Linked DNA regions of Canis lupus familiaris. The protein of the gene in region 3 interacts with the protein of the main gene of each other region in a biochemical or structural test. Links are inferred from orthologs where the notes say so. Each region holds a gene or a part of one and is shown on either strand. Other genes may lie near its edges. The genes, in order: CDCA8, RACGAP1, AURKB and CENPA.

What was found.
Region 1: the proteins of AURKB (region 3) and CDCA8 form a complex in vitro, tested with the Homo sapiens proteins (3 studies listed by BioGRID, with this or other methods). The link is inferred for Canis lupus familiaris from reciprocal best matches to the Homo sapiens genes AURKB and CDCA8.
Region 2: of the proteins of AURKB (region 3) and RACGAP1, one has a biochemical effect on the other in vitro, tested with the Homo sapiens proteins (2 studies listed by BioGRID and IntAct). The link is inferred for Canis lupus familiaris from reciprocal best matches to the Homo sapiens genes AURKB and RACGAP1.
Region 4: of the proteins of AURKB (region 3) and CENPA, one has a biochemical effect on the other in vitro, tested with the Homo sapiens proteins (3 studies listed by BioGRID). The link is inferred for Canis lupus familiaris from reciprocal best matches to the Homo sapiens genes AURKB and CENPA.

What each region holds. Positions count from the first base shown.
Region 1 is NC_049236.1:4,883,838-4,887,921, reverse strand, and holds the start of CDCA8 (borealin), read left to right. Parts: upstream 1-1,252; 5' UTR 1,253-1,510; coding exon 1,511-1,607; intron 1,608-1,690; coding exon 1,691-1,819; intron 1,820-3,794; coding exon 3,795-3,835; intron 3,836-4,084. Other genes in the region: C15H1orf109 (uncharacterized protein C1orf109 homolog), read right to left, coding at 541-815.
Region 2 is NC_049248.1:41,947,138-41,950,697, reverse strand, and holds part of RACGAP1 (rac GTPase-activating protein 1), read left to right. Parts: coding exon 1-119; intron 120-1,136; coding exon 1,137-1,273; intron 1,274-2,216; coding exon 2,217-2,286; intron 2,287-3,560.
Region 3 is NC_049226.1:33,232,124-33,236,436, forward strand, and holds the start of AURKB (aurora kinase B), read right to left. Parts: upstream 2,846-4,313; 5' UTR 2,667-2,845; exon of another isoform or gene 2,612-2,666; intron 2,379-2,611; 5' UTR 2,152-2,378; exon of another isoform or gene 2,097-2,151; intron 1,670-2,096; exon of another isoform or gene 1,598-1,669; intron 1,070-1,597; exon of another isoform or gene 998-1,069; intron 439-997; 5' UTR 122-438; coding exon of another isoform or gene 83-121; intron 1-82. UniProt on the Homo sapiens protein: Serine/threonine-protein kinase component of the chromosomal passenger complex (CPC), a complex that acts as a key regulator of mitosis.
Region 4 is NC_049238.1:20,875,747-20,879,840, reverse strand, and holds the start of CENPA (histone H3-like centromeric protein A), read right to left. Parts: upstream 2,823-4,094; 5' UTR 2,631-2,822; coding exon 2,546-2,630; intron 1-2,545. UniProt on the Homo sapiens protein: Histone H3-like nucleosomal protein that is specifically found in centromeric nucleosomes. Replaces conventional H3 in the nucleosome core of centromeric chromatin that serves as an assembly site for the inner kinetochore.

The DNA.
Region 1 (4,084 bases), on a different chromosome or scaffold from region 3:
GGAAGGGAAGGGAAGGGAGGAAGTGAGGGAGGAAGGAAAGGAAGGGAAGGGAGGAAGGAAGGGAGGAAGGGAAGGAAGGAGGGCAGACTGCACACTGAGTGCAGAGCCCCAGCGCCGGGCTTGACCTCACCACCTGAGAGCACGACCTGAGCCAAAACCACAGAGCCCAAAGCCCGACTGACCACGCCAGCCAGGTGCCCCTGTAAAACGACTTTGTGACAAGAGGTCCCATTGCGGGGAACCCCCGGGTGGCTCAGCGGGTGAGCATCTGCCTGCAGCCCAGGGCGTGACCCTAGAGACCCAGGATAGAGTCCCACGTCGGGCTCCCTGCGTGGAGCCTGCATCTCCCTCTGCCTGCGTCCCATGCATAAAATCAATCAATCAATCAATCAATCAATAAATCCCATTGCAACAAATGGAGAAGAGGCGAGGCTGCGACACCTCCTTCCCTTCCAGGGAAGGGGAAACCCCCTCTCCGACTGATCCTAGCTGCTTAGGGAGCCCCCGCGTCTCCACCCTCCCGCGCGGAGCTCTTCTTACAGCGTCTCCCCTAGCTTGTCCAACACGTCGTCGCCAGCCTCCAGCTGCTTGCGCCGCAGCCGCTCCCGCAGGCCCGGGAAGGCCCGAAGCGGGGGCGCGTCGTCCAGCCGCGCGACCTGAGCCGCCTGCAGCTGCTCCGCCAGGCTGCCGAGCGCGGCCAGCAGGGGCTGGCAGTCCCCGAGCGCGCCCCGCCAGCGGCGCTGCTGCTCCTGCACGGCGGGGAAGCAGCCCCTCAGGGCCTCCCGCACGGCGAGCAGAGGCTGGTCCTGCGCCATCACCTGCCGGACAAGCCCAGGCCGGCGGGCAGCGCCAGGCGGCCCAGGTGCGAGGGTTCCCGTGCGCAAGCGCCGTGTACCCCCTCCGACCCGGGGGCGGCCCCGCTTTCAGGTCGCAGCGCTGTCCCGAAACCCGGGCCTTGAGCCCGAGTTCTGTCTCCTCCCCTGGCAGCTCCGGTCGCCTTCCCCGAACCGGCGGGAGCCCTGGAAGCCCGCGGCGGCTAAGCGGGGGCGCCCACCGGGGCACCCACGCCCGGCGCTCCCTCGCCGCCTCTCCGCGCATGCTCCAGCGCGGCCGCCGCGGCGCAAACGGAGGTCGCAACGCGCGATGCCTTCTGGGGGCTGTAGTCCTACGGGCGGAGCGTCCTTGTGATTGGATGTTGCGGGAGCCTCCCAAGACGGCGACTTCTGATTCGTCAGCCGGTGGCGGTTTGAATTCGGCGGCGGCGGCTGCACGTCGGGTTCTGCAAGGAGCTGCTCCGTCCTTGCGGCTGCGGAGGCGGGGGTTCTCTTGGACGCTTTCGGCGACCCGCATGTACGTGCCCCGCGCCTCGTTTAAGCTCGGGCCTCCCCGGGGCAGCCTGTGCCCCCCGCTCGCCCCTTAGGGCGCCCGCCCGGCCTCTCCCGCGACCTCGGCCGCTGACCGCCCCCCCCCCCCACGCCCCGGGGGCGCCCGCAGCCTCCACCCAAGCGCCATGGCTCCGGCTAGGAAGGGCGGCAGTCGGGTGGCCAAGACCAGCTCCTTGCGGAGCCGGAAGCTCGCCTCCTTTCTTCGGGACTTCGACCGGGAAGGTAGGGGGCGCAGCCGGGGTGCGGGCGGGGTGGGGTGCGGGGCCCCGGGCCCCGGTTCACCCGCCCGTGTGCCCTGCCCGCAGTGCAAATACGGTCCAAGCAGATCCAGTCGGACACACAGAACCTCCTCAAGGAGATGGACAACCTGTACAACATCGAGATCCTGCGGCTCCCCAAGGCGCTGCGCGAGATGAACTGGCTCGACTACTTCGGTAAGAGCCGCTCGCGTCCCCAGGCCTCGGCCGGCGGTGATCACCCCCGCCCCCCGCCCCCCTGCGCTGCTTATTGCACTTCCCTGCTTCACCTGTCTGCACAGGACTCTGACGTCATCTGCCCCGCAGGTAGGCAGGCAGGCAGGCAGGCAGGCAGGCAGGCATCCATCCCCTCTAAAGGACCCCATACTGAATTCTTGAAGCTTTGCAGCTACTCAATTCAAGCTGTTCTAGGCCCAAAACTGCTGGATTGAACAGGTGCATGTATGTGTTCCAGGAAAACGTTACTTAGGGACGCACAGAAATGTGAAATTTGTGTGCATTTTTTGTGTCACAAAACGCTCTCTCTCACTTGCTCGCTCTCTCTCTCTTTTTTTTTTTTTTTTGGATAGTTTATCCAGTCGCTTAAAAACGGATACCTGAATAACTTGGTTCGTTAACCAGAGCTCAGATGGTTGGAGAACCCTAAGCCGTACTTTCTGCATCTCATGGAAACCGTCAGTTAAAAAAAAAAAAAGGGCAAATCAGATTGTGAAGCGCAAGGACTCAAGTTTTTCTGGCCAGCAGAAAACTGCAGCCTGTTCTCTGGCCCCCATGTTAAATGCCCAAGGACATGCGACAGGCTCTCGTTTCTGCTCTGGGGTGCCCTTACTTTTCCTCGTTTCTTTATTATTAGCTATTATGTAGGTTCCGTCCTGCATAGAAAAGCACGTTGTGTTCAAATTGTGGTTACTTAATGACCCTTTTGACTTGCACGTTTCTACAAATACTCATGGAGCGTGCCTCTGTCCCAGTGCTAAGGGGTGAAAATGCTTTGGGAAATAACAACAGACGTTGTCCCTACCCTCAGGAGCTTACAAGTTAGTAGAAGAGGATCGTTTTAAAAATGCACACATGGGCAGCCCGGGTGGCTCAGTGGTTTAGCACCACCTTCAGCCCAGGGCCTGATCCTGGAGACCTGGGATTGAGTCCCACATCGGGCTCCCTGCATGGAGCCTGCTTCTCCCTCTCCCTGTGTCTCTGCCTTTCTCTCTTTCTTTGTGTCTCTCATGAATAAATAAATAAAATCTTTTAAAAAAATAAAAATGCACACATGATTATATAGCTAAAATTATAAGTATCAGAAAAAGGGTAGAGTAGTGGTTGGTAGGTCCATTTATATAGTGCTTCCCGTGCTAGGTGGGCAGGCATTGTATTGAGTGTACTACGTAAGTTAACTAATTTTATCTTCATAGCAAAAGTGTTCATTGTTAATATTGCTCCTATTTTATAAATGACAAAATTAAGGCACAGAGAGGTTGTTTACTTTGCTCAACGTCTCATAGGCTAGTTAGTAGCAAAGTATACTTATTTAAATCCAGGCATTCTGGTTCAAAGCATGAATTTCTAACAGTTCTACAGGACTCTATGAGAGTTTCTAGAAGAAGGATTAACCTAACTTTACATCTAAATCTTGTGCAGACCTCTTTGTTCAGCACACATTGGCTATACACCTACCCCATGCCATATTTTCGCCCGAAATTGTTTTCTAGGAATTCAGGTGAACATTTACACAGCTTTGAGTAATTGTTGGGTATGATGAGGCTGAGCATCTAACTCAGCACTTCGCAGGGATCTGTTGTGATAGAACAGTAAAGAGCCTTGGATTGGAACTGAGTTTTGAAAGACGAATTAGAAACTTGTTGGGCGCAGAGGAGCATTTCCGATAGAGGGAATAATACGTACGTGCCAAGGCACGGAGTCATGAGAGACAGCGACACATTTGGGAAATAAGGACTTCCAGTGTGGTGGAACCTAGAATATGCATAATGGGGTCAGTCAGATATGGAGAAAAATTAAACGAGGTTGTAAAGATCCTTGAATGTTGAAGCCAGGGTTTAATCTGACCCATTTTTAGGCAGATAATGGGATATATCAGGGAGGATGGTTTATCATTAAGATCTGCTAGTAACTAAATAAAATGTTCTTTTTAAAGCCCTTGGAGGAAACAAACAGGCCCTGGAAGAGGCAGCCACAGTAAGTGACCTGTCCTATTTTGGAACTGTGCTTAGTTTTTAAGTTTAATCTTGTCACAAAATCCAACCAGGGGGTGCTTACTACGGAGGAGGTTTTGTAGGGGACGTATCCTGTTTATGCCAACTGGAAAATTACGATTGTCAAATGCTGAGTCTATGAAGCTCAAATACCGTCAAGTTCTACAGAGGGAGGCCATTCTGTTTTGGGCAGGTTCTTTGCAACTCTCTGCCCTGACCTCTCAGGCAAAGC
Region 2 (3,560 bases), on a different chromosome or scaffold from region 3:
TTTTGATGAAAGCAGAGACTGAGCGTAGTGCTCTGGATGTTAAGCTGAAGCATGCACGCAATCAGGTGGATGTCGAGATCAAACGGAGACAGCGAGCTGAGGCTGACTGTGAAAAGCTGGTGTGTATTGTTCTCTATGCCAGAACTATGGCAGTGGGGGGAGGGGGCAGCATCATCTGGTCATGTTTCCATCTGCCAGTTATACTCAGTTTCCTCTTCCACATTAAAGAACTAAAAGCAATCTATCCGTTGACAACTTGGCCTTGACTGGAGCTGAAATTGCAGCATAGGAATCCTGTTCTTCATAGACTGAAATTAAAATATTTTTTCTCTTTTAGACTTGAAACTATAACTTCATAGATTTCAGATGAGAATTTAAAGAATTAAAATTAGGCAGGGGATTCCTAGCATGTTGATCTGTCACAAGATGTTGATGTCTCATGCCACCTAGAGTATCCTCATCCTTTTGTCAATAGCTAGTACTTTGTTATTGATACAGGCAAGACAACTCTAAGGTTTTCCATCATTACTGCCCTTGGTTCAGGGGAAGGGGCTAGATGTAATCTGCCAGTTGAGCAATGTGACTAAGGTAGAACACTATCATTTTGATGTTCCAGGGTGGGTCATGGTACAAAGGAAAGCCTGTATGAGGAGGCACTAATCCATCTTGGTACAGTGTTAAATGCCTCAGTAAGCTCAAATTGACTGGTTCCAGTGTGTCACAGCTTTGTATCCATTTCAATGCATTTTGCTCCACTATTTAGAAAGGTGGGTGGCTGCTTTGATCCATAGAGGAAGCCAATAATTGTCCTGATAAAATGATACTAAATTGTTTTTGCTATGTGAAATCTATTTTGGGACTCTCATTTTGCAATACTGTCTTGAATTAGCAGCTTGACCCAAAAGTCTTGTAGCAGAAAGCCCACTATTCTAGATGGAGTTCATTTTACCAGTCAGAAATCAGAGACGCAATCTGGGCTTGATGTGAATTAATATGCTATTGGTGTAGCAGGCTTCCTGAAGGCTCATTTGCATAATGCTGTATTTTAATGTCTTCTGGTCTGCCCGTCCCATAAATTTGAGGTGAAGCTTTCTCCCCTGGTTAGTTAGGATGTTTTACTCTGCTTTGGTCTGCAGGAAAGACAGATTCAGCTGATTCGAGAGATGCTCATGTGTGACACATCTGGCAGCATTCAACTAAGCGAGGAGCAAAAATCAGCTCTGGCTTTTCTCAACAGAGGCCAACCATCCAGTGGCAATGCTGGGAACAAAAGGTGGGGAAACTGCATCTGTTGTTATCTGATCACGAGCAATGCAGCTGTCGGAAGTTCTTGTTATCTGAACTCTTAAATATACTGCTTCTGGAATGTGTGCTGAATAAAGCAGAAAAAGACTTTGGAGGAAGGGCGAGTGGGAAATAAAGGCACAAGGGCCTCCCACTTCCTTTTATCTTATTTTGTTTTTGATCTTTCCTTGGGATGTTGTTTCACCATGGGTAAAATTTTGATGTTGGTGCTAAATTGCACATCAATAACTAATTCCACTCATTGCTCAGAAACCTAAAGGTGAAAGTGGCAGTTCAGCAGTACTTTGAATGTTTACTCTCCAGAGAGCTCTTGTAGCTCTTCTGGTTTAGAAGGCCTCTGAGCCCAGACCAGACAATAATTTTGGTTTCACTGCATCACTATTTAAAATAGTCTCAACCAGGCTTTGAATTTAACACCCCCGATACAATACATAGGGAAAGGTCAGCACTCTTAGAGCTATTTATTTTGTTGCCTGGTTGTTTTATGGGGAATCTTTATAACTGAGAAGATATATGGGCTTAATTTCTTCAAAAGCTAATGCTGGGTGATACTCTTTCTTATAGAAAGCAACCACAATTGGGATCAGATTAAACTTCACTCTTCTGCCTATGAATTTTTAGTAGCGTGTTCCGCAGGAGTAGCACCCATGCTCCTGACTGTAACTTTCAACTGATGTTGCGAGGTCTTTGCCAAAAAAACAGGTGTGCTGCATGTGTCTTCGTGCATGCACAGACACACTCTCCCACAGAAACCAGCACAACGAGGCTTTGAACTTGTAGTTGTCTCCATAGGAAGGCACTGCTATGAAATTGCTGATTTTACTTGACCCCTGTGACTTGTTCTGAGTGTTCTTGCATTTTTACTTTCCAGAGTCTTCTGTATCTAATACTGTTTTGTTTCACTCATTTAGATTGTCAACTATTGACGAATCTGGTTCCATTTTATCCGATATCAGTTTTGACAAGACTGACGAATCGCTGGTAATAAATGTTTGATCTTTGAAAATTGTCTATTTTTCTTACCCCTGCTCCCTCGGGAATCTCCTTTCTGTCCTCTCTTCTGATATTCCTTTATTACTGTTGTAGTAATTGATGTGTTATAGATACTGAGCTAGCATTTTGTTTTATTAATTTTAAGGTTATTTATTTATTTGAGAGAGAGAGAGAAAGAGTGTACAGCTGTGGGGGTGAGGGAGAGAGAGTCTTTAAGCATATTCCACACTGAGTGCAGAGCCCAACGCAGCGGGGCTCAATCTCACAACCCTGAGATCATGGCCTGAGCCGAGACCAGGAGTCAGACGCATAACCAACTGCACCACTCAGGCACCCCTGAGCTAGCATTTTAAAATAAAAATCCACATAAGCTATAAGAGACTGGCTTATATATTTAGTTTCTGAAAGTGAGAATATAGAATTCAGGATTTGGCATGAGGTTAAATTTATTTAACGGATCTGTGAGCTACATGTACTAATTGACTGTATCTTCTTGGCTTATTAAACATCCACAGCTAGCAAAAAAAAAAAAAAAAAAAAAAAAAAAAAATTAGCAAGATTCTACCCAGGCAGGGCTTATTTGCTGCTCTTGGAGAGAATAGACTTGTGACTTATTTCAGAGTTAGTTCGGTTCTTGAGAAAACTTAGTCATACTTCACAATTTAGAAGGAAACCAGTGCCTTGGAACTTCAGCCAGAAAAATGGCAAAGTTTCTAGGGACTCTAATGCTTTGTTCAACAATGGTTAATAGGTCTGAACTCTTGTTACCCTACCTTTGTGGGGCAGCACCCTTTTCTTAACTTACAATGATTTCTGCATAAAAGGTAATCTCTGATATTTCAATCTTTGATGTTCAGGATACTGGTGGTTTGTTGGTTTGTGTATCTTTCCTATTTTACTGGCTGAAAGCTAGCAAACAAAGCAGTAAATCAGGAGGTAATTCCTGGTTGGTTTTCTGATAGTGTGAAACAAGTGACAACTACTTATTAAATGGGCTAGGAGCATTACATCCCAAATCAGTGTTTGGGGAAATCATTGCCATTTTATAGATATAAATAGTAGGTATCACCTTTTTGAAATATAGAATGATATGAATAGGTTTGGGATATATAGTAAAACTAGAACCTATTAATAACTGATTTGGGAGCTAGACCAAATATGGTGTATCTGTTATAATCCAAACTGAATCAGATAATCAGTAGCTAAATTAAATTACTTGACCAGGAATTGGAGAGTTTAGATTTCATTTAGCTAAGCTACCA
Region 3 (4,313 bases):
CTTATGAATGAATGTCAGCTAATAAATGTTGAATGCAAGACAGAAAAAAATAATTCCCCATTTTTTATCTCCTAAAACGTACTCTGCTTAGGGTGGGCAGTGATGGGGAGCTGGGCTGCATGCTGCCCCCATCACATGCCTTCCGAGGCAGGGTTGCAGGAGCTCCTGGGTTGCTGTCGCCTTCCTAAGTCATCAGCAATCCCCAGTTGGAGCACGCACAGCTCAGCCGTGAGGGCGGACTCCCTGCTTCCGTCTTTGCACAGGTGACACAGTGACCACTCCAACAGAGTGGAGTGGCTGGAGCACCCGGACAGCCGCTGGGGAGCTGAGCAGACGCGGAAGGCGAGGCACAGTGTCCAGCCGGCGAGCAGGCGCGTGGTGCTGAGCCCGCCCAAATTCCTCTTCTGCAGCCCAGGCCTGGTCCCTCCAACGGAGGCCCTGTTAGGAAAGAGATGTCCAGGAAGAAATTTCCCCCTGGGAAGGAGAAGGCCTATGGAGTGGCTGGCCTGCATTCCTCTGCTCCCTTTGCCTCCACCAACAGACCAGAAGCAGCAAAATTGCACGGCTCCAGGCTTCTGGGACATTTAGGAAGTCTGAGGAACATCTGCATTTAATTAATTAATTGCTACTTATAATAATTATCAATTCTTGCCACACCCTTTCCAACAATGAATCTCTATTGCTCCAAGTACCTTTTCTGAACAAGAACTCGAGGCTGTTCCGTGAACAATTCGCGTTAGGATACCTAAAACATCTACGAGACTAAAGGTATCGCTATCCGCTGATTTGACAAAAACAGTGCAGATGCAACATTAATTCCTAAATTTGTATTTAGAATATTTAGAAAACGCATACATTTCGGGGGAAAAAAACAAAACCTTAGAGGTGCCGGAGTTAGTATTCTTTTGGTACAATGAAACGAATTTCAACCTCCTCTTCCTTTGCCGGAAAGGAAAATACCAAGGCAAATCGAGATAACGAAAATTGCAACCTTCCGTGACCCCGACGTGATTTGAACACGCAACCTTCTGATCTGGAGTCAGACGCGCTACCGTTGCGCCACGAGGCCCTCCCGCGTCCGCGGTCGCCCGGGTCTCGTGAACAGAACTATCGTCAGCAGCAGGGGGCGGAGCCAAAGCCTCAGCCCCGCCCCCCCGGGGGTTCAGCCCGCGTCACCTCCAGAGCCGTGCGCGGTCACCTGGGGATGGAACCTCGTCCTCGTGCGCAATCTATGCTTAGGGGCTCTTGGCGCATAGCCCAGCTCTTTAACCTCAGGACACACAGAGAAGCAGCTAGTGTGACTTATTTCCGGGGGTGACAAAGCCATCGCGGTGTCGCTGCAGCTCTGGTCCCTCCCCTAGAATCTTAAATGTAACCCCGGTTTTATCAGCGACTCAGAAAGCCTCTTTCACTAGGTCCTCGGAATCTTGCTTTGTCGTGTGCCGGCTGTGCGTGGTCAAGCGCTGTCCCTTCCGGGGTGACAGGGGTGTCTCGGGTCCCCTTGGGTCTCCCCGCCTGGCCCACACCCACCCACCGCTCCGCCTCGCGCCTGGGCACGCACTGAATCCTTGACGTGGGGAACAGGGACTTGCGGCGGGCGTTGGTGGTATAGTGGTGAGCATAGCTGCCTTCCAAGCAGTTGACCCGGGTTCGATTCCCGGCCAACGCAGCACTTTTTCCCCCTCCCCACAAACTTTTCAAAACCTCGCGCCGGGATGGCTTTTCCGCGGGGACCCTGTGGCCCAGTCACCGCCCGCGCAGGGGGCTGCACGCCCAGCGGAGCCCCGTGACGGCGCGCTTCTGTCCTCGCTCCGACCGCGTCTCTAAGCACATTCACTGAACGGAGGGGACCGAGGGCTCATTCGGCAGCACGATTCACATGCAAGTTGCTTGAATGCAAAACACAAACTCGAACTTTTAGAATATGAGCCCGAGCGCCAGGGGCAGCACCAGCTATCCTCTCTACTTTGTGCCTTCCCGTTCTCCCTTCTTTTTAAAGAAAATCTCCACCGCACGCCCTGGGACGCATACTTCACCGTGAATAGGATTTTATCGTAGGACGAGAAGAACGAAAGAAAGCAAAAGGCACACCGCTTCTCCCCGTCGGGGAATCGAACCCCGGTCTCCCGCGTGACAGGCGGGGATACTCACCACTATACTAACGAGGAGGGAGCTGAAGGAGGCGCTCTCCGGCTCGGAGATCTGGAGCTGTGGCCGCGATCGGCCGGGGCTTGCACCCTTCCTGCCGCTTGGGAAGAGACAGCCGGAGACCCCCCGCTCGCCCTGGACTGCCCCCAAGCCCACGGAGGCCGGGTCGTGGTGGGTCCCGGCCCGTTCCGCTCCCTGTCATCCGCAGCCCCGGCCCCCTGGGCCCGGACCTGCGCAGGAAGAAGGGGGCGGGAAGGCGAAGGGCTGGCCCGGGTCGGTGCGCTCTCCCCGTGCGCGCCCCCCGCGGGCAGGCCGGCCGGGCTGTGCGCTCGGAGCAAAAGAGCTCCCGGCGAACCTGCTCCAGGCTCTGGCCGGTTGCGCGGGGTCTGCGGGGAGGCCTGCGCGCGGCGCCGGTCCCTTCCCCAGCGCCTCCGGGCGTCCCGGTCTCCGCCAAAACCAAATGGGGCTCGTCCGGGATTTGAACCCGGGACCTCTCGCACCCGAAGCGAGAATCATACCCCTAGACCAACGAGCCGACGTGAGAGAACGCTCGCGGACGCCTTTAGAGGTCGTAGCAGGCCCGATGCGGTCCAGGGCCACGGCTCTGGGTGGGGGCGGCCTGGCGAGCGCGCGGGGACCACCCGCCCCGACGCCGCCGACTCCCGAGCGGGCTCTGGGGATCTGCTCGGCCGCCCGCGCGCTCCGACTCCTCCCAGGAAATAACGTCGGGGAAGTAGGAGGGAGTGGTCTCGGCCTCCCGCGCTCCCCTCCCTCCCCGCGCAGCTCTCCGGGGCTACCTGCTCGCCGTGGTCACGGTCTCCGTCACCTGGAGTCTCGACTCTAACGGGCCGCGCCCGCCGCCCTGGGACCCAGTGCGCTGGCGCAGAGGTGCCTGGTTGGGGACGATGAATGAGCCCTGAGCTGCCTAGGTGCACACCTGCGCCTCCATCCGCCCCTGCACCTGTCCACCCTCCTGGAGCGATGAGCAGCGCCAGGGCCCAGGCCAGGGAATAATTCCCGGGGCCGAGAAGACCCACGGAAGAGGAGTCGTTAACGAATGGGGGGCGGGGCGGGGCGGGGTCGGGGACAGGCGGGATCGGGGCACCGAGCCGGGTCTGGCCACCAGCACTGGTTGCAGGACTTCCCGCCAGTGCGATCAGGTTACCGCTATCTTCCCGACTCCCCTCCGCTCTCCCCTTACCTCCTAGGACGGCCAGGCAGGAGCCCCCCCCGCCGCCTAAGGCCCCCAGACGGTAGGGGGATCCGAGGCAAACGCCCGCACGAGTGTCTAAGGCCAGGTCTTAGGGCCTCGCAGAGGGTTCCGGGCTCCGGGAGCCTCTAAGCGCTTAACGCCCTCAAGCGTGCCCTCGCTCTGGGGCCACCCGGAGTCGCGGCGAGACACGGTGGCGCCCGGTGCCCGCCACCTGCGCTGCCTCCCCTCTGCTCGGTGCCTGCTCTGGGGAGTTCTCCCAGCAGGGTCTGAGCAGCCGCGGCCCTGCACCTCCTGGTAGCACCTCGGGGCTGAACCATTTTGTTCCACCTGCGGGTCGTCTGATTTGTAGGGCCAGGCCCTTCCTAATGCCCAACACACCGATACTTTGGTGGGGAGACATCACTGAAGGGTTCAACCCTTCGCTCTTTCTTTCCCGCGTGTCCCTGGGGCAGACAGCAGGGGAGGGCAGCAGGGGACAGCCCCTCCTTTCCTGTCCGTGTCCCAAGCCTTTTTGCGGGGCTCAAGCGCTGAGGGCTGGTGTTCCAGCATCTCCCTCTCCCTTTTGCAATTTGTGTCTCCTCTTAGGCCCCAGCGTTCCCCCCAAGTCTCTAGTTACTGCTCTCTTAGCTGCTCTCAAGCACCTGAGATCTGCCCAGAGGCGGAGCCCTACCTCCCTGATAGGATGGGATGAGCGCTGTGGCCCATGTCCCTAGAAACCCCGGGCGGTCTGAGAGAGTGCACAGATAGCCTGAGGCGCCATCCGTGGGCCCTACTTTCGGAATCCAAGAACTAAGGTATAAACTGATCACTGTTTAAGTTTGGTGTATTTTACACTTTCATGGGAGTCAAAGCTTTACGCGGAAATAGTTGTTTACTAGAACATATGGCAAATTTCCACCTGGTCTTCAAGACTCAGCTCACCTCTTCCAGGAGGCCTCCCCTGGCCACTCTC
Region 4 (4,094 bases), on a different chromosome or scaffold from region 3:
GGAGGAGGAGGACAGCAAGAAGTCCAACGTCAAGTTGTTGCGGGGAGGTGGCACAGGCAGTAAAGGACACTAGACTGGAACCGCAGTGTGTGACAAGGGGATAGAATGTTTCTAGCAGGAAGTGGCCCCCTGTGTCAAATGCTTCTCAGAGCAAGAAGAGGACATGGACAGGTCTATTGGATTTAGCAACATTAAAGTAGCTAGTGACCTTGACAAGAGTACTTCGAGTGCACTAGAAGGAGGGGAAGTAGTTGTGGGGAGCCAGACTAGATTCACCCAGGCTCCAGGGAAGCCTGGGAAGAGGGGAAACACACACGTGTGGTCTTAAGTCTGGCTGTTTAAAAAAAGGTAGCTATGAAGGGCACTAGAGAAATGGGGAGTATGAGAGACAGAGATGTGGGGACAAGAAGCACCCCTGCTCTTTGTCTCTGGATCAGAAAGAGCGGAGCACATTTGTGGAATGACAATGTAAAGAGCACGAACTGAATTCCAAGCGCAAGTGGAGAGGACAACAGAAAGCCCAGTGAAGGTGAGAGAAAAATAGGACCAAGAGCCCATGTAGGAGGAGTGAGTGGCTTTTGATAGGAAGGGAAGACCAGGGGTCTCTGCTGTGAGAAAATAAGGAGAATCCAGTCTGGGGGCTTCCTTAAGTGAAACAAGCACATGACAAGGTCATTATCAACTGAGAGTGAGTTGGGAAGCTGGAGTTGTAGGAATTTGAAGAAAAAGGTATGAATAGTCAATGGGGAGAATGGAAAAGCAAGACTGCCAGACAAGCACAGGAGGACTGCCAGGAAGTGCTGAGTGTCCATCTGAGATAAAACCTTTAATTTAACCAGGAATAGAAGGATGCTTCTACATTGAAGAGTAACAGCAATGGCGTACTTAACAATATTCATGTTAAAATTAGAAACAGGGGGGCAGCCACGGTGGCGCAGCGGTTTGGCACTGCCTGCAGCACAGGGTGTGATCCTGGAGACCCGGGATCGAGTCCCGCATTGGGCTCCTTGCATGGAGCCTGCTTCTCCCTCTGCCTGTGTCTCTGCCTCTGTGTGTGTGTCTCTCATGAGTAAATAAAAAAAAAAATCTAAAAAAAAAAAAAAAAATTAGAAACAGGGGTGGAGGGCAGCCCCTGTGGCGCAGCGGTTTAGCGCCGCCTGCAGCCTGGAGTGTGATCCTGGAGACCTAGATCGAGTCCCACGTCGGGCTCCCTGCATGGAGCCTGCTTCTCCCTCTGCCTGTGTCTCTGCTTCTCTCTCTCTCTCTCTGTGTCTCTATGAATAAATAAATAAAATCTTTAAAAAAAATTAAAAAAAAAAAAAAAGAAAGAAACAGGGGTTGAGGTCGCCTGGGTGGCTCAGTTGGTTAAGTGTGGGACTCCTGATCTCAGTTCAGGTCTTGATCTCAGGACTGAGAGTTCAAGCTTGACGTTGGGCTCCACACTAGGCATGGAGTTCACAATTAAAAAAGAAAGAAAAGAAATGGGCCAAGGGTGGCCAAACCACTTCTCTTATTTCAATACTAATCTCAGAGCTTCACTAATCCAACACACTAAGAAATAAAATATAGAAAAGTGAAAAAGATTCGAAAGTCCTTATTTGCAGACAATAGCCTATTTAACCATTTCAGTTGAAGCAATTGAACAATAAGTTAACAAGAGAATTCAGCAAGCTAGCTGGCTGGATGCAAAGGTTCTTAATCTTTAGGGAAGAAAATAACCCATAATACGCTTTTTTCCCACCCTGCTCATAACTACATTGCAGGAGACAAGTAAAGCAGTTGTTGCCAGAACAATTCTTGCTTGAGTGGGCCTCCCATCCACCAGACCACAGAGCGCAGAAACCGAAGACCACAAACTAGTCTTCTTTCCGGACCCATAAATAACCTCAGGAAGGGAACAAGGTGAGAGCGCTCTACTTGAGGCCCAACACCACCACTCACTGAAGAAACATACACACACCCCAACACCTGGAAAGGCAACTTCTGAAAGTAGAACTGTTTGAAATTGTCACAAAAAGCTGCCAATAATTCTGCAGTTAAAAAAAAAAAAAAAAAGAAAGCACAAACACTTAAAAAAAAAAAAATCCTGTCTGCTGGAGCAAGCTGTGTGACCTTAAGTTACTTGGTCTGCCTGCGCATCAGTTTTCTCATCTGAAAAATGGGCACAATGTAAAGTTGAGCTAAATCACCCAAGCAGCGGAACGCAATGCCTGGTAGGGGTTAGTACTCGATAAACGCTACTAGTAGTAAGACTTAGTATTAGGTGCCAGGCCGCCTGGGCCGTCCTTTCTGCTCCTCTAACTGCTTTCCCGGGTCCCTTGCGGGGCCTGGAACTTGGGCCGGGCCGAGCAGGTGCTGTAGGCGGCCCGGCTTTGCCCGCCAGCAGGGGAGCGCCGGCCGGAAGTCGGCAGATTCGGACCCGGGGTCCGCGCGCGAGCTCGGTCTTCTGGTCCGTGGAATGGGCACCTGGATGCGGCCGTGCCCACCTCACGGCCAGGGAGGCCAGGGAGGCCAGGGAGCGGGGAGGCCGGCTGCGGCCGGTTACCTAAGGAGGGGCCCCGCCGGGGGGCGCTGGGGGCCGGGCTCGCGGGGCGCCTCTTCGGGACTTCGGGCTTGCGGCGCGGGCCCATGGCGGGCGCCGGGCGTGGTGGCCCTGCGGCTCCTTCTCGGCCTTTGGGGTCCGGGGACCGAGGCTGGCGTCCTGCGGGAGCCCAGGACCAGGAGACTGCTCGGCCGGCCCCGGCGCCGCCTCGGTTCCAAGGACCCGCTCTGTCGATTACACTCGCGGCGTTTTTTAAAACCCGAATTCGGCAACTCTCAGTGGCTGCTTCTGGAACGACCCTGGCGCAGAGCGACTGCGCGGGGGACCAATGAGAGCACAGGCCGGAGGCCCGGCGCGCGCGGCGATTGGAGGAGAGAACGGGGACGTCGCGGACGGCGGTATGAACCAGCCAATGGGAACTTGGAGAAGTGAAAGGAGGCGGGAGCTTGCGGCCGTGCTGTTTCGAGGGCTCGGACGGTCGCCCTCGGTGCCTCGTGGTTGACAAAAGGAAGCACTGTCCTGAAGACGTCGGTGCGCTTGCAGAGCGCGTTCCTCAAGACAAATCACTGTTCGGACATTTTATGTTTTGTCCTATCAGCCCTGACGTGGCTTTTAAAGACGAGGAGACAGACTTACAGAGAATGTGGCCCTTCCAGGGACACCCCACGAATACGGCTCAGAAGCCAGTCTGACTGCATGAACGTTATCCATGACTAGGGTCGTGGCACGGCCAGGATCTGACGCTGTCGTCTGGGATCACACTCCCCAGCAGTGCAGTAGGAGCCCTGTAGGGAAACCACCCCTTCCCTTCCTGTTGGAGGTCACACACATTCCGGTCAAATGTACATCTGTGTAGTTAGAATAAAGATTTATTTTCTGCACTTGGTTCTCTTGCGTTTTCTAAATGTTCTCCAGTTAACGTGTATTGTAGTCAAGGAAGATGTCATTACAAAATCAGTGATTTCATGGAATCCTTCCTCACTGGTGCAACCAGAGTGGAAAACAGTATGTTGATCAGCCAAATACATTAAATGTAGAATTACCACACGACCCAGCAATTCTGCTTCTGGGTATACAAAGAACTAGAAGCAGGGACTTGAACCTATTTGTATTTGTACGCTAATGCTCACAGTGATGTTATTCACAACTGAGCCCCAAATGAATAAATAAAATGTGGTGCATACCAGGAATGAAATATTATTCAGCCTATTATTCAGAAAGTTAATTCTGACATGTTACAACAAGGAAAAACCTTGAAGGCATTGAGGTAGGTAACATACAAGACACAAAAGGAGAACTACTGTAGGATCCCACTTACATTAGGTGCATAGCCAAATTCACAGAAAGTACGGCGGTGGTTGTCAGGGGCTCAGGGGAAAGGGTTAGTGTTGCATGTTGAATGGCTATAGAGTTTGGGAAGATAAAAAAGTTCTGGGAATGGATGGTGGGACAACAATGTGAATGTATTTAATGCCACCGGACACTTAATAATGGTCAAGATGGTTTTCTGTTGTATTTTACAACTTTTAAAAAGAGGGAAAAAAGAATGAAG